Pelodiscus sinensis: one gene and its partners. The protein of the gene in region 1 interacts with the protein of each later gene in a biochemical or structural test. Links are inferred from orthologs where the notes say so. Each region holds a gene or a part of one and is shown in the gene's direction. Other genes may lie near its edges. The genes, in order: LRRK1, GPBP1L1, ECHS1 and SNX9.

The links.
Region 2: the proteins of LRRK1 (region 1) and GPBP1L1 form a complex in vitro, tested with the Homo sapiens proteins (2 studies listed by BioGRID and IntAct, with this or other methods). The link is inferred for Pelodiscus sinensis from reciprocal best matches to the Homo sapiens genes LRRK1 and GPBP1L1.
Region 3: the proteins of LRRK1 (region 1) and ECHS1 form a complex in vitro, tested with the Homo sapiens proteins (2 studies listed by BioGRID and IntAct, with this or other methods). The link is inferred for Pelodiscus sinensis from reciprocal best matches to the Homo sapiens genes LRRK1 and ECHS1.
Region 4: the proteins of LRRK1 (region 1) and SNX9 form a complex in vitro, tested with the Homo sapiens proteins (2 studies listed by BioGRID and IntAct, with this or other methods). The link is inferred for Pelodiscus sinensis from reciprocal best matches to the Homo sapiens genes LRRK1 and SNX9.

What each region holds. Positions count from the first base shown.
Region 1 is NC_134724.1:7,440,033-7,447,229, reverse strand, and holds the start of LRRK1 (leucine-rich repeat serine/threonine-protein kinase 1), read left to right. Parts: upstream 1-4,184; 5' UTR 4,185-4,340; intron 4,341-4,478; exon of another isoform or gene 4,479-4,720; intron 4,721-5,295; exon of another isoform or gene 5,296-5,428; intron 5,429-6,699; 5' UTR 6,700-6,827; intron 6,828-7,197.
Region 2 is NC_134719.1:2,019,948-2,027,218, reverse strand, and holds the start of GPBP1L1 (vasculin-like protein 1), read left to right. Parts: upstream 1-4,262; 5' UTR 4,263-4,413; exon of another isoform or gene 4,414-4,537; intron 4,538-7,271. Other genes in the region: TMEM69 (transmembrane protein 69), read right to left, coding at 1,746-1,790. UniProt on the Homo sapiens protein: Possible transcription factor.
Region 3 is NC_134718.1:6,674,649-6,681,697, forward strand, and holds the start of ECHS1 (enoyl-CoA hydratase, mitochondrial), read left to right. Parts: upstream 1-4,032; 5' UTR 4,033-4,106; coding exon 4,107-4,191; intron 4,192-7,049. UniProt on the Homo sapiens protein: Converts unsaturated trans-2-enoyl-CoA species ((2E)-enoyl-CoA) to the corresponding (3S)-3hydroxyacyl-CoA species through addition of a water molecule to the double bond.
Region 4 is NC_134713.1:112,089,637-112,097,439, forward strand, and holds the start of SNX9 (sorting nexin-9), read left to right. Parts: upstream 1-4,790; 5' UTR 4,791-4,958; coding exon 4,959-4,970; intron 4,971-5,590; exon of another isoform or gene 5,591-5,605; coding exon of another isoform or gene 5,606-5,614; intron 5,615-7,803. UniProt on the Homo sapiens protein: Involved in endocytosis and intracellular vesicle trafficking, both during interphase and at the end of mitosis. Required for efficient progress through mitosis and cytokinesis. Required for normal formation of the cleavage furrow at the end of mitosis.

The sequences.
Region 1 (7,197 bases):
TGTGGATCTTGGCTAGTAAGACTAGGTACTCTGGTTGTTAGCACTCCAGTTACCCAGAGCACTCACACGGGGCTTATGTATTTGGCAACATTTCCAAGCCTTGTGAGTGCTGATTTATGCAAATGATTGGATGGGGTAGCGAATGGCTGTGGAAGGAAGAAGAGTTGCCAGATGGGTTAAAAAAAATACTCGACAAAAATTTGATAAAAATGTGTCAATCAAAAAAGAAAAAAACGGGAAAATTTGTTGAGCAAAAATGTTTTTAAAAAGCACCGGGGAGTAACCAGGGAGACCTGGATAGAAATGCAGTCCCAGCCCCTTTAATTGCCATGTGTCCTGAGTGGCTTCCGTTGGGTGCTGAGCCAGGCCCAGGAAAAGCAGAAAAACTTCCTTAATTAGAAAATACCAGACATTTATGTGTCCAGTATTTTCTCAGTCTGTTTACTGGACTGACCGGTTCAATAATGGACACCTGGTGATTCTAGAAGAAAGCCCAAAGGAGAGAGGAGAAAGTAAAGACCACCATGTGGGGAATAAAGAGAACTGGTCCAGAAATAGGTTGAAATGTTCCCAAAAATAAAAACTTCCAGATAGCTCCAGTTGGGAAAGAACGATAAAGGAGGAAGAGGCAAAAGAAAGAGGAGATGAGCATTGAAGATAGCTCTAGTAAAGGGTTGAACTTATTCTATCTCTACACAGTGAAGAGGATAGAAAAATAGAACTAGAAGGAACCTCTTGAGGCCATCAAATCCAGTCCCCTGCACTCATGGCAGGACCTGCTAGACCAGGGGTGGGCAAAAGGGCCTCTGTGGGCTAGATTTGGCCTGCAAAGTGGGTGGATCCGGCCCACGGAGGCCCTGCTGCTCCCCTACCCCCAAGCCAATTAGGCCCTGGGGGTGGGGGAGTGCCCAAATCCTTTTCCGCTATGCCCTCGCCCTGCAAGCAGTGTGCGGCACTACGTGCTGCTCGCAGGGCGGGGGTAGAGCGGAGAAGTCGTCACGTGCACCTCAGGTCTTAATTGTCTGGGGGCATGGGAGCACGCAAAGTCTCCTCCCGCCCTGCGAGTAGCACAGGGTGTTTCCTGTTTAGGCCCCGCCCCTTCCAGGGTGGTCCCAGGGCTACTTCACAAATTTTTGCATGAGTAAACATGCAGAATTTGTAAAAAATTATTGCCCGCCACTGCACTAGACTGTGCCTGACAGGAGTTTGTCTACTCTGCTCTTAAAAATCATCAATCATGGAGACTCTACAACATCCGTAAACTGTTTATTCCAGTGTAAAACTACCCTGACAGGAAGTTTTTCCTAATATCCAACTTATACCTTCCTTGCTGCAGTGTAATCCCATTGCTTCTTGGAGTTAAGGAGAATACAGGCAGTCCTCGGGTTACGTACAAGATAGGGACTGTAGGTTTGTTCTTAAGTTGAATTTGTATTTAAGTCGGAACTGGTACATATTGTAGGGGAAACTCTAGCCAAACATTTCTCCAGAGCTCAGTTTTATTCTCCCACACCTCACTTCCCTCAATCCTTTATTCTCAAACTGAGGTGTCTGCTGAGAAAAGCCGCTCCGCGTCTCCCTGGTCTGCTGGGGGGAAGCAGCTAGTGCGGGGTTGCCTCACCCCGTCTGTAAGTAGGGATCCGATGTAAGTCGGATCCATGTAACCCGGTGACTGCCTGTAATTTTTCTCACTCCTCCTTATAACCACCTTTTAGATACTTGAAAGCTGTTATGTCTCGCCTTATTCTTCTCTTTTTCAGACCAAACAAACCTATTTCTTTCAGTCTTCCTTCATATAGGCCATGTTTTCTAGATCTTTAGTTATTTTTGTTGCTCTTCTCTGAACTTTTCCAATATGTCCACATTTTTCCTGAAATGTGGTGCCCAGAACTGGACACAATACTCCAGCTGTGGCCTAAAAATGTGGAATAGAGCTCAAGGATTACTTCTTGTGTCCTGCATACAACATTCCTGCTAATACATCCCTGAATAATGTTTGGTTTTTTTGCAACAGTGTTGCACTGTTGACTCATTTAGCTTGTATTGCCCCCTCAATCCTTATCTGCAATACTCCTGCCCAGACAGTTATTTCACATTTTGTATGTGTGCAATTGTTTGTTCCTTCCTAAGTGAAGTACTTTGCATTTGTCTTTATTGAATTTCATCCTATTTTACAGACCATTTCTCTAGTTTGTCCAGCTCATTTTGAATTACAGTCCTATCCTCCCTAGTTGAGAACTTGAAAGTGGGAGACAACTTGGGTGAAAGTGATCATGAAATAAGAATTAATGATTCAGAAAAGGTAGGAGGGAGAACAGCAAAATAAATGGTAAGAATGATAATGTCAGTAAAGTTTCAGTCCTAATCTGTAGTGACTCGACTCTTTTGTATTTTTATGATGTTGTGAGCAAGTCATTGTTTCATGAGGCAAAACCTGGGAGTACACAAGACAAATCAGGCTCCTGAAAGGGGTATAGTAGTCTGGAAAAGCTGACAGCCACTGGTCTGCATTATCCTCTTACGTCTCCACCCCTACTGCCCAACACTCTCCTGCCTAACAAACTCCTACAGGCTGTGAACGCTGGCTCCTCCTCACTAGGGATGTGAGTAGTCTAGTTGACTACTCACTTCCCCCCACCCCTGCCTTGCTGCCTCTGTATCAGGAACCAGCTTAAAAATCGGTTCCCTCCAGCACCCTCTCCATGGGGCCACCTTTTCCCTCCCTCCCCCCGCCCTGCTGCCTCTATTAGAGGCAGCAGGTTGGGGGAAGGGCAGGGGAGGCTGCCGCAAAGTAGCCTTTGACCACCATGAGCCCAGGCTGGCCACAGGCAGAAACTAAGGATGTTAAGTAGCGAGTAAATTACTAATTGTGTACTCAATACAATTTGTATTGAGTATATGATTAGTTGATAAAGGGCCACTGCAGCTCTGCAGTTAAAATGTAGGAGCCAGGTGTGCAGGCAGCCTGGCTCCTACTACATTTAAACAGCAGAGCCGTAGCAAGTAGGTCTGGGACCTAGTGTGAGCCAGAACTGAGGAAGCCTTCCCTTATCGACTAATCCTGTAGTTGATTAAAAATGTTATTAACTACATGATTGGTGGATTACCCACCTCTTAACATCCTTACTCCTCACACCCCTTCCACACCCTTCACCTAGCCCTCCCCCTCCCTTCAGCTCTCCTCTGGCCTTTACCCACACCCCCCTCTCTCCTCCTCCTCCTCCTGCCAGTTCTCTTCTCACCTACTTCCATAGCACTCACCCCACCCCTCTCATTTCTCTTCCCCCCTCCCCTGTCCTCCCTCCTATTTCTCCTTCCCATCCCCATTCTCCCTCTCCTCTCACATTTCCACCCACAGTCCCCTTTTCTCTTCTCCTCTCCTCACTCCTTCACCCTTCCCCTCTCCCCTTACACCCCTGCTCTCTCACCCCCTCCCCTTCTCCCATTTCACCTCCCCATCCTCACTCCCCTTTTTCCTCCCCTCACACACCCCATTGTCATCCCCTCCCCCCTCACCTCGATTTCTCCTCCCCATCCCCATTTTCCTCCCCCTCCCCTCACTCTTTCACCCTTCCTCTCCCCCCACACACCCCATTGTCACCCCCACTCTCACCCATCTCTCCTCCCCCTCCCACTCCCATGTCTCATCTCCCCTCTCCCTCCCCTCCCCTCCATTTCTCCTCCCCATCCCCATTTTCCTCTCCCTCACATTCCCACTCCCACTCCGCCTTCTCCTCCCCTTCCTCTCACTTTCACCCTTCCCCTCCCCTCACACAACCCATTGCCACCCCCACTCTCACCCATCTCTCCTTCCCCTCCCACCTCCATGTCCCATGTGCCCTCCCTCTCCCCTCCCCTTCTCCTCCCCATCCCCATTTTCCTCCCCCTCACATTCCCACTCCGCCTTCTCCTCCCCTTCCCCTCACTTTCACCCTTCCCCTCCCCTCACACAACCCATTGCCACCCCCACTCTCACCCATCTCTCCTCCCCCTCCCACGTCTCATCTCCCCTCCCCCTCCCTTTCTCCTCCCCATCCCCATTTTCCTCCCCCTCACATTTCCACCCCCACTCCGCCTTCTCCTCCCCTTCCCCTCACTCTTTCACCCTTCCCCTCCCCCCACACACCCCATTGCCGCCCCCCCTCCCCATTCCCCGCCCCCCGCCCCTCCCGGGATTGAGGAAGTGCCCCGGCCTGTCAGGCTGCGCCCCGCCCCGTTCCGCGCCCTCCCGCCCGCTCCGGCGCCGCTGCCGCCAGCTCGAGCCCGGGTGGCCGGCGGCGCAGGAGGCGGCTCCGCGCCCCACCGAGAGGCTCCCGAGGCAGGGACCCCCCGCGCGCGAGGTACCGGGGCTGGGCGGGGGGGCTCCCCGCCGCGTCCCTTGTGCCTGAGGGTGGCAGGCCCCCCCCCCCGGGCTAGCCGGGGCCCCCAGCGCGGGGGTGCACGGCCCGGGCCCTGCCCCCCTCCCGGGCCGGGGGCCGCAGACTCACCCCTGCCTGCCGGCGGGAGCCTTGTGGAGCGCGGGCTGGCGGAAGGAGGGTCTGGTGCTCTAGGGAAAAGGGGTGTTTGTTCCCCCGCCTGGTTCTGGGGCGGGGGGGGGGGCTGCTGCTTGCCAGGGCCCCCTCTGCCCCCTGACTTTGCCAGCCCTCTGGTGTCACTCCCCCGGGCAGCCCAAGGTTCCTCTCGAGGCTTGGAGCTGCTCAGCGCCGGGCACTTGGGCGAGGTGTGTTTGGATCCTGTCGGGGTCCACGAAGGACCCTCCTCCAGCCTGTGGGGAGGATTTGCTAAGTCCAGGACACACACTAATGATGGGGGACAAAGAAGAAGAAAAACGCGTGGGAGTGAAGAGGGCAAAGGGCTAAAACAAGGGAACAGGATGGGAAAACCGAGCAGTGGGTGGGTTTGGATGATTAGCGGGTACCTAACTCACATTGCTGCTGCTCTTTGGCAATCCCCAGCCAAAGGGACTCTGTTGGGATGGTAACCCCTTGTCTTACCTTTGTTCTGCAGAGTTAGAGCTGGTTGACCATTTTTTCAGTGATATCCATTTTCAGCGAAAGTGGCTTTTTGGACAAAGTCCATTTTCATGACAAAATATTGGTGTAGAAAGTTTTCAGGTTTTTTGTTGAAACACCCTCCCCCCAACTTTTTTTAAAGTTTAAAAAAAAAATAAGTTGAAGATTTTTTTTTTGCCAAAATAGTTTTTCAGGAGAGGGGAAATCATTTCCTCACCTGCTCTCATCAGAATGTTAAAGCTCTAATTTATTTGTAACTATTTATTCTGATGGTAATGTAAGCATGTGGTTAACTTTGCTCATGTAAAAGTTCCATTGGTATCCCTGGGATTGCTTGTGTGAGTAAAGTTAAATACATGAATATGTGTTTACAAACTCAGGGTCCATCTCAAGCTGCTGCTCAGGAAAAATTAGAGGTGAGAAGAGCATCACGAAAAGAAAACATTTCTATAGATATGTTTGGGTTGTTTGGGTTTTTTTTAATAGAGCCTAATGTTTGGGAAAGGAAATGTTTGGGTTAAATAAGCCATAAGCAGGAAGCTGTTGTCTTTTCATGAAAGCTGGTGGTAGAAGGGAAATAAAGCTAACGTAGGTTAAGGAAAAGCTTCCTTTTGTTCAATAACCATTCCAACAGCCATCAGGAAGCACTCTGAGGCTACATCTATACTGAGGAGCTATTTCAGTATCCCGAAATAACTATTCCACGTCTTAAGAGTAAGCCCATTATATCGAAATATAATGGACTCGCTATTCCGACATCTCTGTAAACCTCATTGCATGAGGGTTAAGGGACATTTCGTAATAGCGCTTTATTTTGAAATTTGGTGCTGTGTAGACAGCGACAAATTTCAAAATAAGCTGTTTCGAAATAAGTATGAAATAAGCTATGCAATTTGCGTAGTGCAAATTGCGTAGCTTATTTCGAGGTAAGGGTGTTGTGTAGACGTACCCTTCGGCTCCAGAATAGAAGCACTTCACTTTTATAGTGTGCATATTATTATTACTTTACTTTCCACTATATAGAACTCTCTCACTGGTCACTTCAGAGTGCTTCATAAATAGTAATTAATCAAATGTTACTATATGTCTGGAGGTAGATAAATAATATAACTACACTGCAGATTTGAAAACTCAGGAATACAACATTTATGTGATTTGCTAAGGTCATACAATGCATATCAGAGGGGGAACAGAACCCAAGAGTTCTTGCACTGACCATTAGCTTTCTCTGTCTCTGCTGCTATGACCTGTGGAATAGTGTACAAATGCATTACCACTTTTCCCAAAACTTGAGGTAGATTCCTCATTTTGACACATGTCACTTGAAGAGCACTTTAAAAAGTCTTCTGAGTGATTTAAGTTGAAAGATACAGAGCAATGTCATGGTATTGTGACAATTGATTTAGTCACATGGGAATTAGGAGAAAGGTGGAAATCCAATGGAGAATGCAGTAGGTGCAAAGGATTGACATTGAATACAAACTCACTTCTGGTTCCAACTTCTGTTATTTTTTGTATGTTTCAGTCATTATTTAAATAGGCACATGGTGCTTTACTTTTCACTCTGTCTACTTTTATTAAATGTTATGAGTGGTATTAGTGGCTGCTAGCAAGTTGCAGGGAGCTAGACTAGACAGACCTCTGATTCTGTGGAAATAACATGGCACTATTTTTTTCTTCTGCACAGAGGTACTGGTGACATAAGACAGCTGAGGATACATTGCCATTATATGAAGACCAAAGATGGATTGTTATTTTGCAGGGATTTTGCCCTAACAGAATGCCAAGAGCCACATTCTCTCCTTGCATTGGTAGGTATGTTATCAATACCTCACCTGGGTGTGACAATGTCCTGATATGAACCCACAGTTGGTTTGCACCAGTGACTGCTTCATCCACCTTCATGCTCCATGATGCTTCCTACTGTGATTACCCTCCTGACACCTGGCCTATAATGTGGCATCACATTGTATTGAAAGCCGTTGTTTGGGCAAAGAACTCAAGATAATATTCCGGAGTCTCCTATTGACTTGATGAATAATCTTGGGCAAGTCATTGCACCTCTATATGCCTCAATGTATGATACAGGAGTATGATACAAATGGGTATGATACAGGATAGTCACAGGAGTATTGTGAGGCCTAATGAATGTTTATGAAGTGTTTTAAGAACTTTGGGTGAAAAA
Region 2 (7,271 bases), on another chromosome or scaffold:
ACTCCCTGTCCCCCCACTGTGGCTCTGCAGTTTAAATGTAGTAAGACCGGGGCAGGCAGGTAGCTGGGATCCCCTGCAGACAGGGGCTGCTGCTGGAACAGCCTCCTGTCAGATGGCACTGCGGAGACAGTGCTGGGGAGAGAACTGGCTTTTAAGTTGGCTCCCGCTCCTCCCCTTGCTGCCTCTGATATGGGAGGAAATGTGATTAATCAACTACTCGATTACATCCTTAGTAGACATTTCTATCATAAGTAGGGAACTAATGCAATGAGATCATGAGAGCCAACAACACAGAGCAACTGAAAGGGAACAGGATTTTTAGACACTTTTAAAAACTTCTCTTTAAACATCTTGTTATATTTAATTCACTAAGATTTCTGATAAAACAGCCCTGCACAAAATTACTCTCCCTGTTGAAATTTCATGTTTTATAACAGGCCTGGGTAAAATACGGCCCATGGGCCGAATCCAGCCTACCCATCCAGGCTCCCCACTTGCCTTGCCCCATCTGCATGCCACTCAAAGCTGGCTGCGGGGTGGTTTTTCTTTAAAAACTGTTGAGTCCCGAGTGGTGGTGGGGGGAAGCTTTAGGAGCTGTTCCTGTCCCCAGCACAATCCCATTGGCCGATTTCTGGCCAGAAACTGGCCAATGGCAGCTTACCATTTCAATAACAGGCAGCCATGAAGCACAAGGGGCTCCAGAGCACATGGCTAGAGCCTGTGCTGGGATGGGGCAGGAAGGAAGGCTGATTCAGGAACAGGCTGCTGGCTGGTAAATCTCCTGGCCAGTCCAGTCTGGCACCCCAGTTCCTCCCTTCCCCAACCCTCTGCCTCCCCTATTGTCCCCCTACTCCACATACCCAATTCCTCTGCCCCCCTCTTGTATCCCAATTCCCTGCCCTATGTCACAATCCAACCCCCTGCATGCCAGTCCAGTGTCCCAGGTCACAACTGGCTCCTTCACCCAAACTCCTTCCCTTGCTTCAAGTTTCCTTCTGCACCCAAACTCCATCCCAGAGCCTGCACCTCCTCTATTAACATCATGGAAAAGTGCAGCCCTTGACCACTTCCACATTCTTGGAGTGGCCCCCCCATCAAAAATGATTGCCAACCCCTGAGATAAAAGAAAGTCTGTGTTAATTGTTAAGGTGAAGGCCCTCTTACAAAAACTGACATTTTTGAAGGTGTAGGGGAAGCAGCACAACACCTTTCTGCCTTCTTTATATTCAATCAAAAGACAGCAGCTACATAACTTTTAAAAAATACTTTGCAGATTCTGGCCTAATAGTATGGAGACCCTGTCATCACCATCATGTTGCAGCTGTTTCAATGAAAAGGAATTTTGTGGTGCTTATATGATCCATACTGTCCCTTTAAGTTCTGACCATAGTTACACCCCATGAAATCCCACCAACTTCACTAAGATTATGGAGCCATAACAGAAGGAAGGATTTGGCCCTTTAATATTCTTAGCTGTCAAGTACCACTGAAAAAACATATCAGTAAGCCTAATAAATCAATGTAGGTGAGCTGAGGTCTAACGCCATGCAAAAGTCAGGGAAAAAATCATTGACTAACTTTAAACATTAGAAAAGTTCCTTTGGAAAACACTAAATCTGATAAAAATGAAGCCTCAGTCTGCTGTAAAATATGAGCCAACTGTGTTTTATACTATACCCAAAATTATTTGTCGTCTTATTTTGTAAAAAGCTATTTCAGGATAAAATAATGCATTCAAAACTTACATTTAAAGGTATTTGGAAACAACATCGCTGTACAAGGTGAAACATTTTTGCTTAGCAGAAGGCCCTATGGGATGAAGAAAAAAATGTTAGGAGATGTCATTTAATGACAGCTATACGAAGTAGACTATCCAAGTTTAGAGCATGTCTAGTATAAGTTACTACAACAATTTATTTTCCATATTATATTAGAGTAAGAGTCAGAACCATTTTGTTTTATAAATTAGAGGAAGCAGATGGAGACTATGACTTTTTTTAAATCACTATACAGCTAATAACATTTTTGTCTGTATTCTAGCCAACTAATTATATTTAACTTTTACAGGGTTGTTTTCAAATCACTTTACAAGTTAAGGCCATTATCTTGTAATGCTGTTTTTGGGGAGGTTTTTTTGTTTTTGTTTTCCAAATCAAGGCCAAAGTATATCTCAAGGCACCCATGAAGTAGGTAAATGTCTCCATTTTACAGTATAAATGGTTTGTGGAGGCCATACAGGTGGTTGATGGCACAGCTGGATTTAGAATTCCTTTTCCCAGCCCCAAATTGAATCCACTAATCCTACCCCCCAAAATCCTCTAAAGGTTGGAAGTTTCTATAGTATCCACTGTTCCCTTAAGAACACAGAGGTGATGCCGTGATTGGATAAAAGGATGTTTGAAATGGGTCCACGGTGTATTACAGAAGTAGCTTGAAGTTCCCAGCAAGCCTGGCCCCCGCTGGAGAAAGGAAGAGTTTACAAGCTGAATAACCAACCCGGCCAAAGGAAGACTCCTGGAGGAGAAAATCAGTCACTTGCCCAGAGAGCCTGTGGCAGAGCGTTCCAGGAAAGCAAGCCCTGTTTGCACAGGCAGAGCCGCTCCTCTCTTTGGGGCGCCCAACACAACCCCCCCCCCCCCCACCTCCAGCTGCCTCCGGGGGGATCACTCACCTGCCCCAGGCAGCTTCCCGTGCTGCAGACAGGCTGCAGCATCCGGCAGGAGGGGCAGGCTTCCAGTGTGCGCTGGGTATAGAGCCCCAGCCCGGAACAACACGGGCCGGCCGCTCTAGTTCCGCTTTGGCTGCGAAACAGCGACTCCAACTCCCCAGACGTGTCTGTTTTAGTTTCCTGGCGTGACCAAAATCCCCCTTTGCCCTGGCGCTCAGCAGTCAGGAGGGTGGGAGTGGCAGGGTTAACAGGCATCAAGTCTAACGGGAGGAGAAATTGCATTACAGAAATACAAGGGTGTCTCTCCCCTATTGAAAAAGTCTGATTGCGGGCAGTTTATGCTGAACGTATCTTAGGCAGTGTAAGTCTTCCCACCGAGGGGCCATCAGCGCTGCCAAACGTTCAAAAAGCAAGGCTCCTTCCACCCCCTCCAAAAAGAAATCAAGGAACAGGGAAGCCACATGCATATGTGCAGGATCAGAGCTGGGGTGGGCCTGGTGGGTGCCACTGAAGGCGACACCCCCGCTTTGTAGTCTCACTTATTTAAATGAAGCAAAATACCCCAGACTAACACGGCTAAATTTCTATCATTATTTAAATGAAACCTGCATGCAGTCCTGAGTAAGCAGAACGCATGTAGCATGCAGTAGTCAAACCCCACCTTTGCAGCTGCAGCTACAAGCACACATGCTTTTACATGTTCAGAAGACTACCCGGACGTTGACTAACTAGTTAATTGATTGGAAAAACAATGTGGATGAGGTAACATTTTTATTGGACCAATTTCTGCTGATGAGAGAGACAAGCTTCTGAAGCACATAGTATTCTTCCTTCTTAACGGTTGTACTGATGTTTCTTTTAGGCTTGCAGCAGGAGCACCCACCAATGGGGAAGTCACTTGTCTTGCATCTTTTTCCTGGAACAGTTCCTCTGAATGTCTAGTCCTTGCTGGGCCTGATCGCTTTACAGCGGGTCCGGTGAAGATTAGCGCAGGTTTGCAGAACAGGTTAGGGGTGGAGAATAGCACTAAACATTACGGCAGCAGACAAGGAATCCTCCTGGCCCTGCAACTGCATGTTGCAGGAAGCATTTCTGGGGCGTCACTGCTCTGCTTGTGGGTGGACTGTGAAGCTTCTCGTGCTGAATTTAAAGCCATTGCTGCCAATTGTTTCCACTGCTGCCGCCTGCCTGGCTCGCTGAGGAAATGTCTGTTGAGCAGGAAAGGTTGATTTGAAATTCCACTCCCAAAGCCTGCCTGTCTGCTCTGTGTCACTGTTTGTCTGGATTTCCTCCGTGCTGGGGAGGGGAGGAGCACACGTTTGCTTTCTAGGATTACTTTACTTCCTTCCTTTCACTTTAAGGGATGAAGAGGCGGGCGCTGCTGGGGGGGGGACGGGGGGACGGAAGGGGACTCCAAGTCCCAGCATGCAGTGCGGCCGCGGCCCCCTCACAAGAGGTGAAGCAGGTAGCGCAGTGCATGCTGGAACTTGGAGTCCCGCACGGGGAGTACGGCGGCAAGCCCCCTCCCTCCCGCGACCCTATGACAGATACAAACAGAGCGGAGCGCGAGCCGCCTGGACAAGTGGGAGGGGGGCGGGGGCGCGCGCGCGCGCGGAGAGGGAGGCGCGCGCCAGCCTCGCGCTGCGGAGTCACCGCCCCGCCCCCGGCCGCACCGGGCCTAGGGAGCGTCCCGCGAGAGAGGTCTCGAGCCGCGAGGAGCCAGGCGCGCGGCCGGGCCGCGCCAGGTGGGTGTGTCTCCCACGCGCCAGCCCCTCCCCTCCGGCCCCCGGCCGGGCAGGGCCGGGCAGCCATTTTGGGCAGAGCTTTGTTATGGTTGTGGGGCCGCGGGAGCAGCGCCGGGCCTGGCCGGTGAGTGGGGGCCCCGCGCGGGACGCGCCGCGGGCGGCAGCCGGACCCGACAGCGAGCCGGGAACGGCCGGGCCCGTGAGCGGAGCCGCTCCGGGGAGGCTCGTAGCGAGCCCGGCCTGTGCTGCGGGCTCGGGGCCCCGCTGGCGGCCGAGCAGCCGCTGAGGGGGCTGGAAGCGCGAGTGGGGGATACGGCCGGGCCGGGGAGCGGGGGGGCCGCTGTGTGAGGAGCGGGGGGGGGAGGGGCAGGAGCGGGGGGGCCGCTGTGTGAGGAGCGGGGGGGGGAGGGGCAGGAGCGGGGGGGCCGCTGTGTGAGGAGCGGGGGGGAGGGGCAGGAGCGGGGGGGCCGCTGTGTGAGGAGCGGGGGGGGGCCGCTGTGTTAGGTCGCGGGGGGGGAGGGGCAGGAGCGGGGGGGCCGCTGTGTGAGGAGCGGGGGGAGGGGCAGGAGCGGGGGGGCCGCTGTGTGAGGAGCGGGGGGGGGCCGCTGTGTTAGGTCGCGGGGGGGGAGGGGCAGGAGCGGGGGGGCCGCTGTGTGAGGAGCCGGGGGGGGAGGGGCAGGAGCGGGGGGGCCGCTGTGTGAGGAGCCGGGGGGGGAGGGGCAGGAGCGGGGGGGCCGCTGTGTGAGGAGCCGGGGGGGGAGGGGCAGGAGCGGGGGGGCCGCTGTGTGAGGAGCCGGGGGGGGAGGGGCAGGAGCGGGGGGGCCGCTGTGTGAGGAGCCGGGGGGGAGGGGCAGGAGCGGGGGGGCCGCTGTGTGAGGAGCCGGGGGGGGAGGGGCAGGAGCGGGGGGGCCGCTGTGTGAGGAGCCGGGGGGGGAGGGGCAGGAGCGGGGGGGCCGCTGTGTGAGGAGCGGGGGGGCCGCTGTGTGAGGAGCGGGGGGGAGGGGCAGGAGTGGGGGGCCGCTGTGTGAGGAGCCGGGGGGGGAGGGGCAGGAGCGGGGGGGCCGCTGTGTGAGGAGCGGGGGGGAGGGGCAGGAGCGGGGGGCCGCTGTGTGAGGAGCCGGGGGGGGAGGGGCAGGAGCGGGGGGCCGCTGTGTGAGGAGGGGGGGCAGAGCTGAGGGACGGAGTGCGAGGAGCAGGCCGGGGGGGGGGGACCCAGGGATTTGGCTGAGGGAGCAGCCAGGGTGATTGAGGTTTGAGGGGGGAAGCGGGGGGGGGGGGAAGGGACAGGAGCGGGGGGGCCTGTGAGGGGAGGGTTACCGGATAGCTCATTTCTCTTTCACTTCATAAAGTATAAACATTTCGAAAGGGGCTGATGTGGAACAAGCAGATTGTCTTCCGAGATACTTGAAAAGATACTGCTTAGGCAGGATAAAAGCTAATCATTGGGTAACGAGCAGCTCTTGCTTGTGGGAGAGCCAGTATCTGTAGCAGCCTCCTTGCTTGAGAAAAGCAGATATGCAGTAACTCACAACAAAGATTTTGTTTACGTTGAAAGTTTTCAGCAGCCTCCTGGACTTGATGGTTTACAGTCTGGAGGCAAAGTTTGCATTTTATGTTTTTCTCTCCATCACTGTTTTGGGATCCTTTTGTGCTATTGGAAGCCTGTTGAAAGTAATGTTAGGAACATTGTGGTGTCATGAAATAGACAAGTGGCCTTTTGAGCATGGCCTGGATGTTTGCAATGTGAATTTAAAAAATGTATAGGAGGGAAGTGTAACCTCTTGAGAAAACATAAAACAGTTTTGCCATTAAATTTTCCAGTTTAACAGTGCTGTTCTCATGTTTCTTATACTAGTCAAGTGAGAAACATTGATTTCTGTGCATATACCCTGTCCTCAGAGCTAAACCCCCTGAGGCTCAGATGTGAGACAAACTCAGAATAAGATATAATTGCAGGTAAAGTCATCTGTGTCAAAGCCAAGACTCAGCATTTTGGTTACTCAACATTAGAAAATATTAAGTGTCTGCTGGTTAGTGAATTTGGGTGTGAAATTAGTTATGTGCTGCAAAGGTGTGTTTTTTAAAGTTATGACTTAAAAATGAATCCTGTTGCATAATAAGCCATATGAATTGAATCTTGATTTTATATTTTTGGAGATTTCATATATTTCTGGTAGCTTTTCTATGGTCATTTTAATCAACTTTGTGCTTTTTTTTTTTTTAAAGAAAAATCTACCAACATTACATGCTTTGCTTTATAAACTACTATACCAGCAGGAAATGGGTGTGTATAGCAGTTCCTAAAGGACTACCAGGTGATATCCTATTACATTTAGTAATTGCATTGTAAATACATTTACTTTTTAAAAGTAAAACTGTAAGTGGAAAATAGATCCCCCTTTTTTTCATCAGTTACAAGATAGCAATTTTAGTTTCCTTTGGTTAGTCATTCTTCCAAATGTAGAAAATATTTAACTTGGAACCATAAACCATCTAAATTTTTGTAATCCAGTTTACATTTGGACAAGCCCCTGAATGGGTTGATGTTCTTAAATCAGTTTTTAAAATGGCTTATACTTCTCTTAAATATGTAAGGAAGCTAAAACCAAGTTGATGATAACTGCTATGAGAATGTCCACACATGCAACAGTCTAAATCTGTTTTTAAATTACCATTATTTACATCAAGTTTGTGTGTAGGCAAGTTCTAATTATCGAATAGTGATAAGAGTAATCTGAAAAATTCCTCACTTTTTTTTTTAAATGAACATGGCAGTCTAGGTCCCTCTCACCAGTAATGTTCCAGTTAACAGAATTATGCTAGGAGTACTAAGTGTTCTAAAGACTAGCTGAAGTTGG
Region 3 (7,049 bases), on another chromosome or scaffold:
ATGGGCTCTGCTTTCAGTGATACCCCTTAGTTCCCACGGGAGCCTCCCCCCCACCCCCACCCCCTGTCACAGTGCCAGAGGTGCCGAGGAAGATTGGCGTCTATATCTGGGGCACGGCTGGATTACACTGCACGATGTGATGGCAGGGCCCTGTGTTTTCTAGGCAACGTGTGTCAAGCCATTGGGATTAGAGGGGGCAGTGAGCTGGGGAGCCCTCGGGGGAGGAGAGGATGGGGAGGGGGTGTGCAGGCTGGCGGGGGGTGGAGAGGAGACAGACCTGAGTACGTCTTTCCTGCATGTTTCCTTGGCTTCCTCCTGCTACTACTAGGGCCCCCTCCCAATGGCGAGGGGGGCTCAGGAACGCTGCCCAAAGGGGGTTGCCGCAGGGGCCTGGCATGACCTGTGCGCCCAGCCTGGGCTTTGGGGTCTGCTGTGCCCAGGCCTTGCAGCAGCCCAGCCATCGTACAGGGACAGCCAGCACACCATGCTGGGCAGAGAGACCAACAGCCCCATCCCATGGGCCTAGAGGCTCTCTTTATCCTGGTGTGCATGGATGCTGGTGTGTGCAGGGGCACGCGTTCATGTGCACACGTGTGTGGGGAGGCTTGCATGCCGGGGAGGGTGAGTACACGGATGAGTGCATGCAGACGGGGGTGGGTACATGCGTGAAGATGGGCGGTGGGGTGCCGGCACACACGTGCAAGCCTCTGTTTGGGGGACATATGTGAGCAGGGCTCTGCACGTGCCCACGCAGAGCGGGTGGAGTTGTTATTTATAGAATCACAGAAGAGATGGAAAATTCCTCCACTCGGCCGCCGGAGTTTGCCCTGTTTGTTCCGGTGACGGATGCATTCCCCAGCGCATCGTGCGCCCCAAGCCATGGACCTCCACCTGCCTGATGTGTCTCAGCAGCCGGCTCTCAGCTGCTGCGTGTGGAGAGCTTGGTTATGAGGCTGCCTTGCCTCTGTGTTCTAAGCACCGCGTGGCTACCCTGCAAGGACTCTGCCGCCTGTAATACTGCTGGCAGGGGTGCGCACGCTGTCTCTCTATGGGATTCACCTGTCTTGTTCCTTCAGCAGAACACCTCTTGCGCTGCTGCAAGCCTGAAAGATGGCTACGTGGTCCCTGAATGCACAACCTCTGTCCCTTTCCTTCCGAGGCAATAGAAAGGGTGTTTCCTTTACAAACGATTGTCACATTAGAGGAGTGACACGAATTGCTATGACTCCTGGAGGAGGAAGAATATTGAAAGAGAGAAGCACTTCATCAGAGTGGAACTTGGGAATACCAAAAGAAATGGGGCAAGCAAGGGGAGATTTCCCCATGTACTAGGAGGGGTCAGTAGACAAATACAGTCCTTAAAATAAAGAAAACAAGAAAACCTTGGAAGTGCAGGTCAGAGATTTGCTAACCAGCGGGCGCCATCTACGGGGCTCAGATGGCCAGGGCCCAATAGAAATAGGTCACGTCTCAGCCCTGAAAACAGGGCATCAGAACTGAAGTCATTGGGTGGGATTTCACAGGCGGCCCAACCCACAAAGAAGCTGGAGAATCTAGGCGTGGCGCCGGACGTTGGCCCAGCAGGGACCGCGGTGCTATGGCTGCGTCAAGACAAGGGCGGCCGACCCCTCACTCCCTGGCAGCCAGAGAGTGCGGTGAGGGGCTAATAAACAGCTGTCTGCAGTGGGCAGGTGCTGCGGGGGACCAGAGCTGGGTGGTGCTGCCCTAGGAGAGCCAAGGCCTCCCAGCTGTGCTGCCCCAGAGGGTTCAGAAGGATTGAGTGGGTGTGTGGCTGTTTATTGGCTGGGCAGGCCCAGGTCCAGGTGGCCGTGACCGAGGTGAATTTCAATGCTCTGCCCCAGGGCGAAGCCAGAATGCCCTGCTCCCGGCCAACTGAGGCAGAGAAAGGCAGCTCAAGAGCCCAGCAGACCTGGGAAGGGCCCAGCCTCCTGTCAGGAGTTAGCACGCTGGCTTAGCCAGGGCTGGGTTAGTACAGGCCACCCCACTGTGACTGGCCCGGCTAGCAGGGAGCCTGCAGCATCTCACAGCACCTCAGACACCAAGAAACGAGCCACACTGACACTTCATAGAATCACAGAGTCACAGAGCACTAGAACAGGAAGGGACCTCGAGAAATCATCAAGTCCAGTCCCCTGCCCTCATGGCAGGACCACGCACCATCTAGATCAACCCTGACAGGTTGATTTAACCCTGCTCTTAAATATCTCCAGTGATGGGGATTCCACAACCTCCCTGGGCAATTTATTCCAGAGTTTCACCACCCTGACAGGTAGGAAGTTTTTCCTAATGTCCAACCTAAACCTCCCTTGCTGCCCATTGCTTCTAGTCCTATCAGCAGAGGCCAAGGAGAACAATTTCCTCCCATCTTCCCCGGGACATCTTTATAGATACCTGGAAACCACGATCACCTCCCCTCTCAGTCTTCTTTTGCAAACGAAACAAGCCCAATTCCATCAACCTTGCCTCACAGCTCATGTTCTCTGGACCTTTCATCATTTTTGTTGCTCTTCTCTGGACCTTCTCCAGTTTCTTCACATCTGTCTTGAAATGTGGTGCCCAAAACTGAACCCAGCACTCCTATTAATGCAGCCCAGAGGCATGTTTGCTTTTTTTGCAACAGTGTCACACTGTTAAGTCATTCTTACACCACAATGTACGTCCACAACCCATGGTCCTACCCACTCCCCTCAGCCTACCCACTGCCCACCCATATTCCCCTCAACCCACCCACTGCCCCCATCCTCCCGGTGTCTCTGAAGCCACTGCTGGCCACGCCCCCTGAGTCTCCTCCTCCCCTGACCGCACCCACAGGTTGAGCACTGGGGCGGGGTTACCCATATTGGGCGGGGCTATGCAAATGAAGGCTCTGGGCGGGGGATAGATGGAGCTATGCAGATGAGACAAAAAACAGGACTATGTAGCACTTTAAAGACTAACAAGATGGTTTATTAGGTGATGAGCTTTCGTGGGCCAGACCCACCTCAGATCAAATAGTGGAAGAAAATTTTCACAACCATATATACCAAAGGATACAATTTTAAAAAATGAACACATATGAAAAGGACAAATCAAATTTCAGAACAGAAGGGGGATGGGGGGGGGGAGGTAAATTCCTGCGCAAGAAATATAATTTATGTTATCATGTGCCAAAAGTGTCCGTCTGCTATGTACATTGGACAAACGTCTCAGACACTTCGCCAAAGGATCAATGCCCACAAAACAGATATTAGACAGGATCACAAAGAAAAAACAGTTCCTTGCCATTTCAACCAGAAAGGACACTGTCTCAACGACTTGATTACCTGTATCCTGCTTCAAAAGCCTTTTAAGAATACACTTGAAAGAGAATCCTCTGAACTGTCATTCATGCTCAAATTCGACACTTTATGCTTAGGTTTGAACAAAGACTCTAATTACCTTACTCATTACAAAGATAGCTTCCCCGATTATCACCTCTAATATCATTAGCTCACAGATATTTACCTCCCCCTCCCCATCTCCCTTCTGTTCTGAAATGTGATTTGTCCTTTTCATGTGTGTTCATTTTTTTAAATTGTATCCTTTGGTATCTATGGTTGTGACAATTTTCTTCCACTATTTGATCTGAGGAAGTGGGTCTGGCCCACGAAAGCTCATCACCTAATAAACCATCTTGTTAGTCTTTAAAGTGCTACATAGTCCTGTTTTTTGTTTCAGCTACACCAGACTAACAGGGCTACATTTCTATCAATATGCAGATGAGGGCTTTGGGCGGAGCTATGCAGATGAAGGCTCTGGGGGGCGGGGATAGACGGAGCTATGCAGATGAGGGCTTTGGGCGTAGCTATGCAGATGAAGGCTCTGGGGGGCGGGGATAGACGGAGCTATGCAGATGAGGGCTTTGGGCGGAGCTATGCAGATGAAGGCTCTGGGGGGCGGGGATAGGCGGAGCTATGCAGATGAGGGCTTTGGGCGGAGCCATGCAAATGAAGGCTGTGGGCGGGGGATAGACGGAGCTATGCAGATGAAGGCTCTGGGGGGCGGGGCGTGACGCGCAGGGGCGGAGCTCGGGTGCTCCAGGCCCCGTGGCTCGGCTCCGCTCCGCCATGGCTGTCCCTCTGCGCGCGCTGCTCTGCCCGGCCCGGGCCCGCCTGCTGCTGCTGCGAGCCCCGGCTCGGCCCTGCTCGGCCGGTGAGCGGCGGCTGCTGGGCCGGGCCGCTGTCCGGGGGGCAGGGGGGCTGGGGTGCGGGGGGGGTTGGAGGATAGGGGGGCTGGGGTGCGGGCAGGAGATAAGGGGGCTGATGTGCGGGGGGGGCTGGAGATAAGAGGGCTGGGGTGCAGGGGGGCTGGAGGACAGTGGGGGCTGGGGTGCAGGGGGGCTGGAGGATGGGGGGCTGGGGTGCGGGGGAGCTGGAGGATGGGGGGCTGGGGTGCAGGGGGGCTGGAGGATGGGGGGCTGGGGTGCAGGGGGGCTGGAGGACAGTGGGGACTGGGGTGCAGGGGGGCTGGAGGATGGGGGGCTGGGGTGCGGGGGAGCTGGAGGATGGGGGGCTGGAGGACAGTGGGGGCTGGGGTGCAGGGGAGCTGGAGGACAGTGGGGGCTGGAGGATGGGGGGCTGGGGTGCAGGGGAGCTGGAGGATGGGGGGCTGGGGTGCAGGGGGGCTGGAGGATGGGGGGCTGGAGGACAGTGGGGGCTGGGGTGCAGGGGAGCTGGAGGATAGGGGGGCTGGGGTGCGGGGGAGCTGGAGGATGGGGGGCTGGAGGACAGTGGGGGCTGGGGTGCAGGGGAGCTGGAGGACAGTGGGGGCTGGAGGATAGGGGGGCTGGGGTGCAGGGGAGCTGGAGGATGGGGGGCTGGAGGACAGTGGGGGCTGCGGTGCGGGGGAGCTGGAGGACAGTGGGGACTGGGGTGCAGGGGGGCTGGAGGACAGTGGGGACTGGGGTGCAGGGGGGCTGGAGGATAGGGGGGCTGGGGTGCGGAGGAGCTGGAGGATGGGGGGCTGGAGGACAGTGGGGATTGGGGTGCAGGGGGGCTGGAGGACAGTGGGGGCTGAAGGATAGGGGGGCTGGAGGACAGTGGGGACTGGGGTGCAGGGGGGCTGGAGGACAGTGGGGACTGGGGTGCGGGGGAGCTGGAGGATAGTGGGGCTGGAGGACAGTGGGGGCTGGGGTGCAGGGGGGCTGGAGGACAGTGGGGGCTGAGGTGCGGGGGAGCTGGAGGATGGGGGGCTGGAGGACAGTGGGGGCTGGGGTACGGGGGGGGCTGGGGTACGGGGGGGCTGGAGGACAGTGGGGGCTGGGGTACAGGGGGGCTGGAGGATGGGGGGCTGGAGGACAGTGGGGGCTGGGGTACGGGGTGGCTGGAGGACAGTGGGGGCTGGGGTGCAGGGGGTGACTCAGTTCCCTGCAGGCTGCTCAGCCCACTGACTCCCCACCCTGGAGCCTGCTGCCCCTGCCTGCTGGCTCCCCATTGCTGGGTGGTGTGGGGAGCCCCTCTAGGTCTGGGGCTGCTTTGGTGGGGACGCTCCCTCAGCCCCCCCAGGAGAGGGCGCTGCCCAACAGAGCTGGCTCCCTGCACTGCCCCATGCCTGTGTGAGCTGCGGCCTGGGGGCTCCTGGCAGTAGGTCTGGGGGAGCACCCGGGGGGCTGGGCCACGCTGGGAGCTCAGGGGCTGGAAGTTTGCTCAGGCCCTGCGTGTGTGGCCGCCTCGGGAGCTGTTGCTGCCCGAAAGCAGAGGGCAAAGTTCTCCGGCCTGGAGCCCTGCACTGCGCCTGCGACCCGGTCGCGCCTTGCTGCCCAGCGCTGCCTTGCTCTGGGGGGCTGCGCCCACTGCCCTGTCTCCCCTCAGCTGGCGGGGGAGAGGGGATGGGACTGGACGGGCAGCCTGCCCCCTCCCTTGGGCAGGAGGCCAGGCCTGTGCCCCAGTCCTGACTGAGCAGCTGCAGTGGCTCCACTGACGGGGAGCTCCGGGGCCCTCCTTGTACCCGAAGCGCTTTGCGTTCTGAGGCCTTGTGCGCTCAGGACGGCCCCTGGCAGCTGTCCGGGCTGGAGCCTGGTTCCAGGGTGTCCCCTGGGCGTACCCTCGCCTGGCACAGACAGCTCCCACGGGTGCTGTCAAAAGCCAGGCCAGCAGGGCTCAGGGTGACTCCACATTCAGTTCTTTTCTCAGTTAATTCAGGGCATGTTGAAGGGACTAGAGACGCCGTCGCCCAGCCTGCCCCCCACTCCAGCCTGCCCCTCCCCTTTAATTCTTTAACCGGTCAACGAATCTGATAGCCCTAGAAGGGACCAGCCATGCTGCTGTGGAGTAGGGATGTGAATGAGTACCAGGTAACCAGTTCATCCGCAGCCCTCTGTGGTCAGGAGCCCTGCAGGTGGGGGGTTACTCGGCCTGCGCCCAGCCCCTCGCCCACAAGCTCCCGCTTAACCAGTGAACCAATTAAACACAACAGTTAATCCATTAACTGAGTACATGGGATTTTATATCCCTCCTCTGGAGAAGGAAACCTGTATCCCAGGCCCAAACCTCCTCCCCCACCGGTTCTATGGGGAGGAGGATAGTAAAATAAGGGGCTGTTTTGTTTGCCCAGAGGGAGACAGACCCCGGCCGGGCTGGGCTCTGGCAGTCTCAGGAATGCTAATTTCAGTTCTCGAGCACTCAGGGTGTGCTGAGTCTTTCGCAGACCCCTCCAGCTTCGTCCAAGTGGGCATTGGTTGTGTTGCCCTGGGCAGCTCACACCCGTTACCTGTCCTAGTACAAGGCACAAGCAACAACAGCTCGTGCCCCAACGAAAATACAGTGTCCACAGACGGACGCATGTGAGAAATGAGGCTTCAGGAGAGATTTCCATGCAGCCCTGACGGGTAGTGTCTTGGCCTGGCAGATTGGAATACAGGAAGTGTGTGCGGGGGTGAGAGGAGAAGAAGAAATGGAAGTAAAATGGGCAGGACAACTGGGCACCCGAGCTGACAATACTGACCGGGGGAGAGGGCTGTGCGATACGAGCTGGGCTGATACGCAGGGCCTTACAGAAAAATATTGCTCATG
Region 4 (7,803 bases), on another chromosome or scaffold:
AACGAGGTCTTCATTTAACTAAGTAAGCCCTCTCTAGTGAAATTGTCCATTTCTTCACTAGATTCTACTGAAATGATCACTTATTTCCCTGGAAAATTTAGTTCAATAAACTCAACCACAAGAGTGCATATTTACTATGAAAAGTGCATATTTACCAGGTGCCTAGTTTTGAACTGGATAGTCCGGTATTTGAGCTTTCTGTTCGGAAAACAAACTGAGAAAATATAAATATCTGCAAAAGCGACGAGGAGTCCTGTGGCACCTTATAGACTAACTGAAGTGTAGGAGCATAAGCTTTCGTGGGCAAAGACCCACTTCGTCAGATGCATGTCAGATGAAGTGGGTCTTTGCCCACGAAAGCTTATGCTCCTACACTTCAGTTAGTCTATAAGGTGCCACAGGACTCCTCGTCGCTTTTGCAGATTCAGACTAACACGGCTACCCCTCTGATATAAATATGTGGTATTTTCTAAATAGGATGTAATGTAGATTGTGCTATAATGTCAAGTGTGTCTAGTATTTTTGTTGAAACCATCTGGCAACCCTATCGAGGGGCAATAACAAAACCCAACATAAATTCTATCTTAATAGCTTTTATGCAGAAGAGGAGACTTTTCATTTCTAAAATGCACATTGATACCTCAGTTTGAGGCATGGGGCTTTAGAAATACAAATCAGGTTTTGAGTAGATAAAGCCATATGTATCAAATAGAAAACATGAGCATGATTCAGGAAAGTGCTGAGTACTTTTCCCTTTATCCAGCAAAATATTTAGGCACATGAATAGTCTCATTAAAATCAGTGGGATTACTCATATGTCCACGAAAGCTCATGATACCATCTACATGTTTTGTTAGTCTTTAAGGTGCTATTAGACTATTTGTTGTTTGTTAAGTTTTTCCTGTTACAGACTTACTCGGCTACCCCTCTGAAGCGTTTAAAGCTAAGAACATGGTTAAATCTTTTATGATCAGGATGAGAGTCCTCAGCACTCTTGCTAGGCAGCAAAAAATTTACCAATACAAAAGGTTTTAGAAATCACTTTAGGTGTCTCCTATTGGCAGTTGGTTTGTGCTAAGACTTTTGTGTTAGCTTATAATGAAGGTTTCAGATAGGCAGAGAATTGTGATTTCCCCTGCACATAAAAAAAATCCTATAAGAATGTAGACATGAGCAGCTACCAGGAAGTTCCTCATATAAACATTTCTGTCTACATGGCTATTAGGCTGCAAATAATCATGGGAAGACTCAATTGACACCAATTTCCCAAAATATTCCTTCCCCCTGTGAGAGGGAGGGCAAACCCCAAAGGAAAACCTGATTGCCTGTACACATGTCTAATAAACCTCCTTGTTAAGATCAGCTTGTGGAGGAACATTGTCTAGAGTCAAAGATGAGATTTTAGATGTGTAAAGAGGTCTGGCAAATTATTACTTTGTTTTGTATCTAAGATAATAGATAAATGTTGTTTCAGTAGCTATCGGGGTAGAGAGCAAGATGTTTAGAACAAAGTGGAGAAACACTGAAGTGTTAGGAGGAAAGGTTCCTCCTATGTATGAGAGGTTCATTCTGAAGAACTGTTCTAGAATGAAACAATTAGAACATACACACATCTTAGCACATCTGTCTGGTTTGTCAAAGTAATTTAAAAACAGAATCAAAATGGAGTTTAAATATTTTTCAGATTAATCAGTTCTTATTACTGTAGCACCAACCACAGCATTTTTTGTTGTAAAACAGCTGCTTCTCTGCTCTGCAGCAGCCACATGTGTTCTTTATTGCTGCTGTTCAATATGATACCTAGAAAAAACCCCATATATTTCACTTTATCTACATAAAAGGCGGGGAAAGTTGCAACTTCATTTCCAAGTTAAAAGACTTGTGGGCATGCTGTTTTTCTGTTTTGTTAAAATTGCCTGGCTTAGTGGAAAAAGTTACCCATAGCAAAAGAAGCTTGTAAGCACTTCAGATACAGAAATATGCATGTAAGGTGTTTTGTAGCTTCACAGTATTATACATGATTTTTAGGACTAATAATGCTTGACTCATTGACTATTTGTACATTTACACTACTTTTTAAAAAACTGGATTGAAGCTGAGATGTTGCTACTGGTCAAACCCCAAACAAAATACACCCTCAAATAGCTATCTATGCAAACTAGGCATATAGATAATCTATGCAAAATATGTTTGTATTAAAGCCATTATATTCTGTCCCCCTCAATTTGTTTCACCCTATTGCAGCTTTTCCCTAGCCTATACATTGACTGGAAAAAGAACTGTCTTTTACTGTAACCCTGTAGAGTGAGACAATAAGCTGTCATGTTGACTAGTATTGTCTCTGTTTTCTTGTCCTCCTGCTTCTGTCTGCAGAGCTGTGCCATTCATAGGACGAATTGGGGTGGCCACCTGGGTTCCAGGCTTTTGGGGGCCCTGCAGTGGCCGCTCCAACCATCCTATAGATGGGAAAGACCTGGGATATACAGGGGCTTGGCATGGGGTGACAGCAGGGCTTGCCTGCACTCACCACACAGCAGCAGGAGCCAGAGTACCCCTACAACCTGCTCCACCCTGCTATGCCACCCTCCTGGCCCGCTGCACTCTGCTTCCTGCTGCTGCGGAGAAGTGGGACACAGCAGGCTGGGAGGGTGGCATGGCAGGGCAGAGCAAGCTACTGGGACATTCTAGCTCCCACCACCCATGTGGTGGTGGTGGTGGTGGGGCAACCCCTACTACTGCCGCACCAAGCTCCCCAGGCCACATTGCTCGGAGGAGAAAATAAGGGGGAAAGGAGGTGGAGAAGGGACAGGGCTTAGGGAACGGATAGAAAGGGGGCAGGGTCTGTGATGGGAGGTTGCCCTAGGCTTCACATCTTATGACTAGAGCACTTGGTGGAGGGGGGATAACATCAGGCCCTGCACCCCCCTTGGGAAGGCCCTGTCTTTGGTCTCTTGTCTTGTATGTCTACACTAAGGCTGTGTCTAGACTGCATCCCTTTTCCGTAAAAGGGATGCAAATTAGACATATCGCAATTGCAAATGAAGTGGGGATTTAAATCCCCCCCGCTTCATTAGCATAAAAATGGCTGCCGCTTTTTTCCAGCTCGGAGCTTTGCCGAAATAAAGCACCAGTCTAGACGCGGATCTTTCAGAAAATAAAGCCTTTTCCGAAAGATCCCTCTTAAAATGAGGGATAAGGGATCTTTTGGAAAAGGCTTTATTTTCTGAAAGATCTGCATCCAGACTGGTGCTTTTTTCCGGCAAAGCTCCGAGCCGGAAAAAAGCGGCAGCTATTTTTACGCTAATGAAGCAGGAGGGATTTAAATCCCCGCTTCATTTGCAATTGTGATATGTCTAATTTGCATTCCTTTTACGGAAAAGGGATGCAGTCTAGACACAGCCTAAAAGTATTACAGTGGCACAGCTGAAGGTACACCACTGTAGTATTGTGGGATAGACACTTGCTACAGCGATGGGGATTTTCCATCACAGCACTGCATCAGTTCCTCTTAGAGATGGTAGCTAGGTTGACAGAAGTCTTCCATTGACCTATAGGTACCAGGTCAAATTAACTATGTCCCTCAGGGGTGTGAATTTTTCACACCTAAGCACGTAGACCAGGCCTTAGTCTCTGCCCCAAAGAGCTTACAGCCTATCTTTTTGGTTCTTTATTTGTATAGCATCTAGCACAATGGGGTCCTAGTCTGTAACTGAGATACCTGGAGTATTTCTACACAGGCTGTAGCAGTGAGTCTCCCAAGCGGGGGTCAACAGACTTGGGCATATGCTACCATGTCTAAAAGAGCCATATAGACATTTTGGTTTGGGCTCTGAAGCCTCCTCTTTGGGCTTCAGAGCCGGAGCTGCCACTCCAACATATATACAGCTACTTTTAATATGCTTACATCAGCAGTGGAACCCTAAGTCTGTGAACTGGGATTGGGGGGCTCGCTGCTGTGGGCTATGTAGATGTACCTGATGGCATGAAGTATAAATAAATAATAATATATAGTGTCTAGTACAATAAGCCTGATTGGTCTTTTATGTGTAACTGTAATACTATCAGCTTGCTGAGGCCCAGCTGACACACAGCTTACAAACAAATTACACATCAAAAGACTGAAGTCAAGAGGAAACTTGATGTGATAGTAGATTCATTTCCTAGAGGTCCAGGTTTCTGAAATTACTGTTCCAAGACTGAATGGAGGATACCTACTTTCATAGAAAAAGCAAAAACAAACAAAAAACACCTCATCTGAGAGTAAAATATTTGCATTGGGAAATATTTGGCAATGGGAAGAGTTGCTTAAAAATGCATTCACTTTTGCATTGGTGGTCTCTTTTTGTAGGAGGGTAAATATGTCAGCTGTGTCAAATGAATCTACCAATAGTCCCTGCAGTACATTAAGGGCTGAAGCAAAAATTATGTTAACACTCCCCCCCCTTAAAAACCGAAAATTTTAAGTGACTAGGGCGATTGTACAAACTGCCTAAGATGCAAAGCACCCAAAGAAAATACTGAGGCTTACGGCAAATGAGTGAGGAGAGTTGGGGCAAATCTAAATAGTCAGGATCAAATTCTGCCATTAAATCGGTGTCAATCCGCAGTAACTCCGGCTTTGCACCTCACGTGCCGCCTCTCTGATTCCAATCCTCTGCCCTCGCCCAGCCGAGCAGCGTGCGCCGGGGCACAGGGAGCGTTTGGGGAAGCGAGACGGGCGGAGAGCGGGACGAACAAAGAGGCGAGGGGGCAGAGGAGAGCCGCGAGCGGGGAGGGGCCGGGCCGCTGCCCTGGTGCTACATTAGCTCCTGCCCGGCCGGCGCGGCGCGGTTGTGCCGAGCAGCCCGGCGGCCGGAGGGGGCGGTGGCTTTGTGACTGGGAGTAGCTGCGGCCCAGCAGCGGCGGCGGCGGCTCCGGGCCGGAGAGACGCGCGGCGGGAGCCCCGCGCCAGCAGCACCATGGCCACCAAGGTGAGGGGCCCGGCTCGCTTCGGGCCGCGGGGGGGTGGGGCGAGCGGCGTGGGGCGCCCCCTCTCGAGGGCGAGTCCCAGGGGCCCTACGGGCGAGGGGGGGGCTGGTGCTTCTCTGCGCCCGGCCCTGGCGCCTGTGGGGCGGGGGGCGGCCCCAGGGCGCTGTGGGGGTGCAACCCCCCGAGGGCGGCTCGGGGCAGGGGGAGGGGGGCAGGTCCCGGGGTGGCCTCCCCCCCCCAACCCCCCCGGCGTGTAACCGCCAGGGCCGGGCGCTCCAGGAGACACCCACCCGGGGGGCGTGTGACCGCGCCTGGCGTGGGCCCTGGACCCGCTCCCGGGCCTGCCAGGCGGGAAGAGGCGTTTCCAGCGTCGCAAAGTTTTAACAGAGAAAACTTTTTCTCCGCCCGCTCTTGGCGGCCTGTCACCTGAGCCCGCAGGCGGCGGTAGGGTCCCGCTGCCCCACAGCGAGCGTCTGGCCCGGGCCCCGTGTAACCCACAGAGCGGACGGGACCCCTTCCTGAGGTGCTAACCGCAGCTGCACCTCGTTTAAACACCCCTCTCTGCGCCGAATAAACCACAGCCGCCTAACCTGAAGACTAATACTAGCTGGAAGAGCTGAACCGTGTCTCGCTGTTTATGATGTGGGTGTGTGCATTTTATCCTGTCTGGATAGATTGGTCAGTTTCATTGCGGTGTCTTGTTTGGGGTCTCCTGTTGTGGCCAGTAGTGGCATAGTTTAGGTGGGAATATTTGGGGGAGTGTTTTTAAATTCAAGCACATTTTTCATTGACCTTTCAAAGAAGTGGCGTGGACACCTTTCTCTTCACACTCGGTATTGTAAAACAAAGAAATAAATCTTTGGGGGCCGAAGAACGCCCCACGTATCTCTTTAATTTCACAGTTGTGAAAGGGAAAAAAAAACATGCAAACAAACTTGGGCCTTTACTTTTGAGAGTTGCTGAGTGCCTGCAGCTCCTGTTGACATATGTGGTAGTTGTGACTGTTCAGAGTCCTTGGAAAAAGTCCTCGTGGAACCAATCTCTAGAGATCTGAATGTCATTCAACTTTGCATTCTGTCCTGTATTTTTCTATACTTCCCATTCAGTCAGGAAGGAAAATGACTGTGGTCTTAAGGCCTGGTCTACACCTGAGACCTAGGTTAACCAGCTAAGTTACTCAAGGGTTTTCAAATCCCAAGACCCACAATTAAGGTGACCTAAGCCTTGATTTAGACACCTCCCAGTAGACAGAAGGAACACTGCAGCAGTGCTGTTGCAGCATTTTAAGTGTAAACATAGCTTTAGTATGTGATACAATGACTTGTGTTACAAAAACATCAAACACAAGACTTAGTTGCTCAATGGAACTATGATTCTGTGTATTTGCTTGGCAGCATTGCTTGTTTTTTGTGTATAGTGTAATAGGGTTTATACACCTGATAATGTCCAAATATCGAGGGTATCTTTTCAAGTGAGTTTGATTGCAGTAGGATAAATTCATTTATTCTCTTCTAATGGCTATGGTTGCCAACTTTCCTGATCGGACGAACCGGATGCCATTTGTGGAAATGTTGTCTGGTACGGGAGACTAGGAAACCCTGTAGTGGTGCATTTGTGTGTGTGTTCCACTTTATAAAACAAGAATACCACTAATAAATCGGCCACTTGTAATCTCTAATTGCTCTTATAAAAACTGATATATAAAAAAAGTATCTTCTGAATAATTTTCTGTTTTTTGTAGATTATGTAAAATACTGTTTTCCTTCTGCCATGTTATTTTGTAGCATGTGAATTAGCAATATTTGGAGTTATGTCTGAGTTTTAGTTGTGTATATGGTTTCTAAAATGTATGATGAGATTAGTTTTTGCTGTTTCTGAATATTATTAGAAAATGAATGTAGTAATTGAGCTTTGCATTTCTGGAACCAGTCTAAGTTTCCAACAGTATTTATTTGCTATATTAGTATTTTTTTATTTTAACTTTTTAAAGTTCAAAAGTACCTTTAAAGAAAACAAGTGTTCTACTTATTGTGCCATGTCACAGTATTGGAAACAATGTTTTTGGGACACAGCTGGGTTGCATAAACTAGTTCTGCAACTTAGAAAGTTCATTTGTGTTAGTAGTAGACCATGTTCCTATAAAATAGTGATAATATGATTCTTAATACGTCACAGATTTGTATATTGTACATATCCAATTTAGTGTATTAATAATATTTTATAGTCACAGTACTCTTTAGATAAGAAGCCTAAATCACAAATCAAATAGGTGTTTTTGAAACTTTTATCCTTACACCTAAAATTGGGTTTGATATGTATCAGAGGTTTAGAATGTTGATGGACTGGGCTCAGTGTTAATATTTTTGGTATAGACTAACTTGCGTTAAGTGTGTATATGTGTGCCCATGGACACAAAGGGCACTTCATGTGGTCATTTGTGGGAAAACTGCATTGCTTCTGGCAAATATGTACTTCTGCAATTGGGGTAATCAGTTCAAATCGTGTTCATTTCAATGTGGAATAGGTCCTGCACTGTATTTAAAGAAGGCTATGAAGAGCCATTGTTACTTTTTTCTGGTACAGAATTAACTTAATTGTATAAATGTAGAGAGTTGTGCTCTCGTTTTTTTTTTTTAAATAGCTCCCTGATTTAAACTTCTTCAGAAACAGAAGACCGATCATGTTGTCCCTAATTTAACTAATGTTGTGGGCAGAAGAGCAGCAATTATTTTTCATTCTTCTTTTATTAATTTTTAGGCACAATTTTTGTATTGCTTTTTTATTTTAACTTTCAGTATTTACAAATTGAAAAGTGGGCTTTTTTGTTTTGAGATG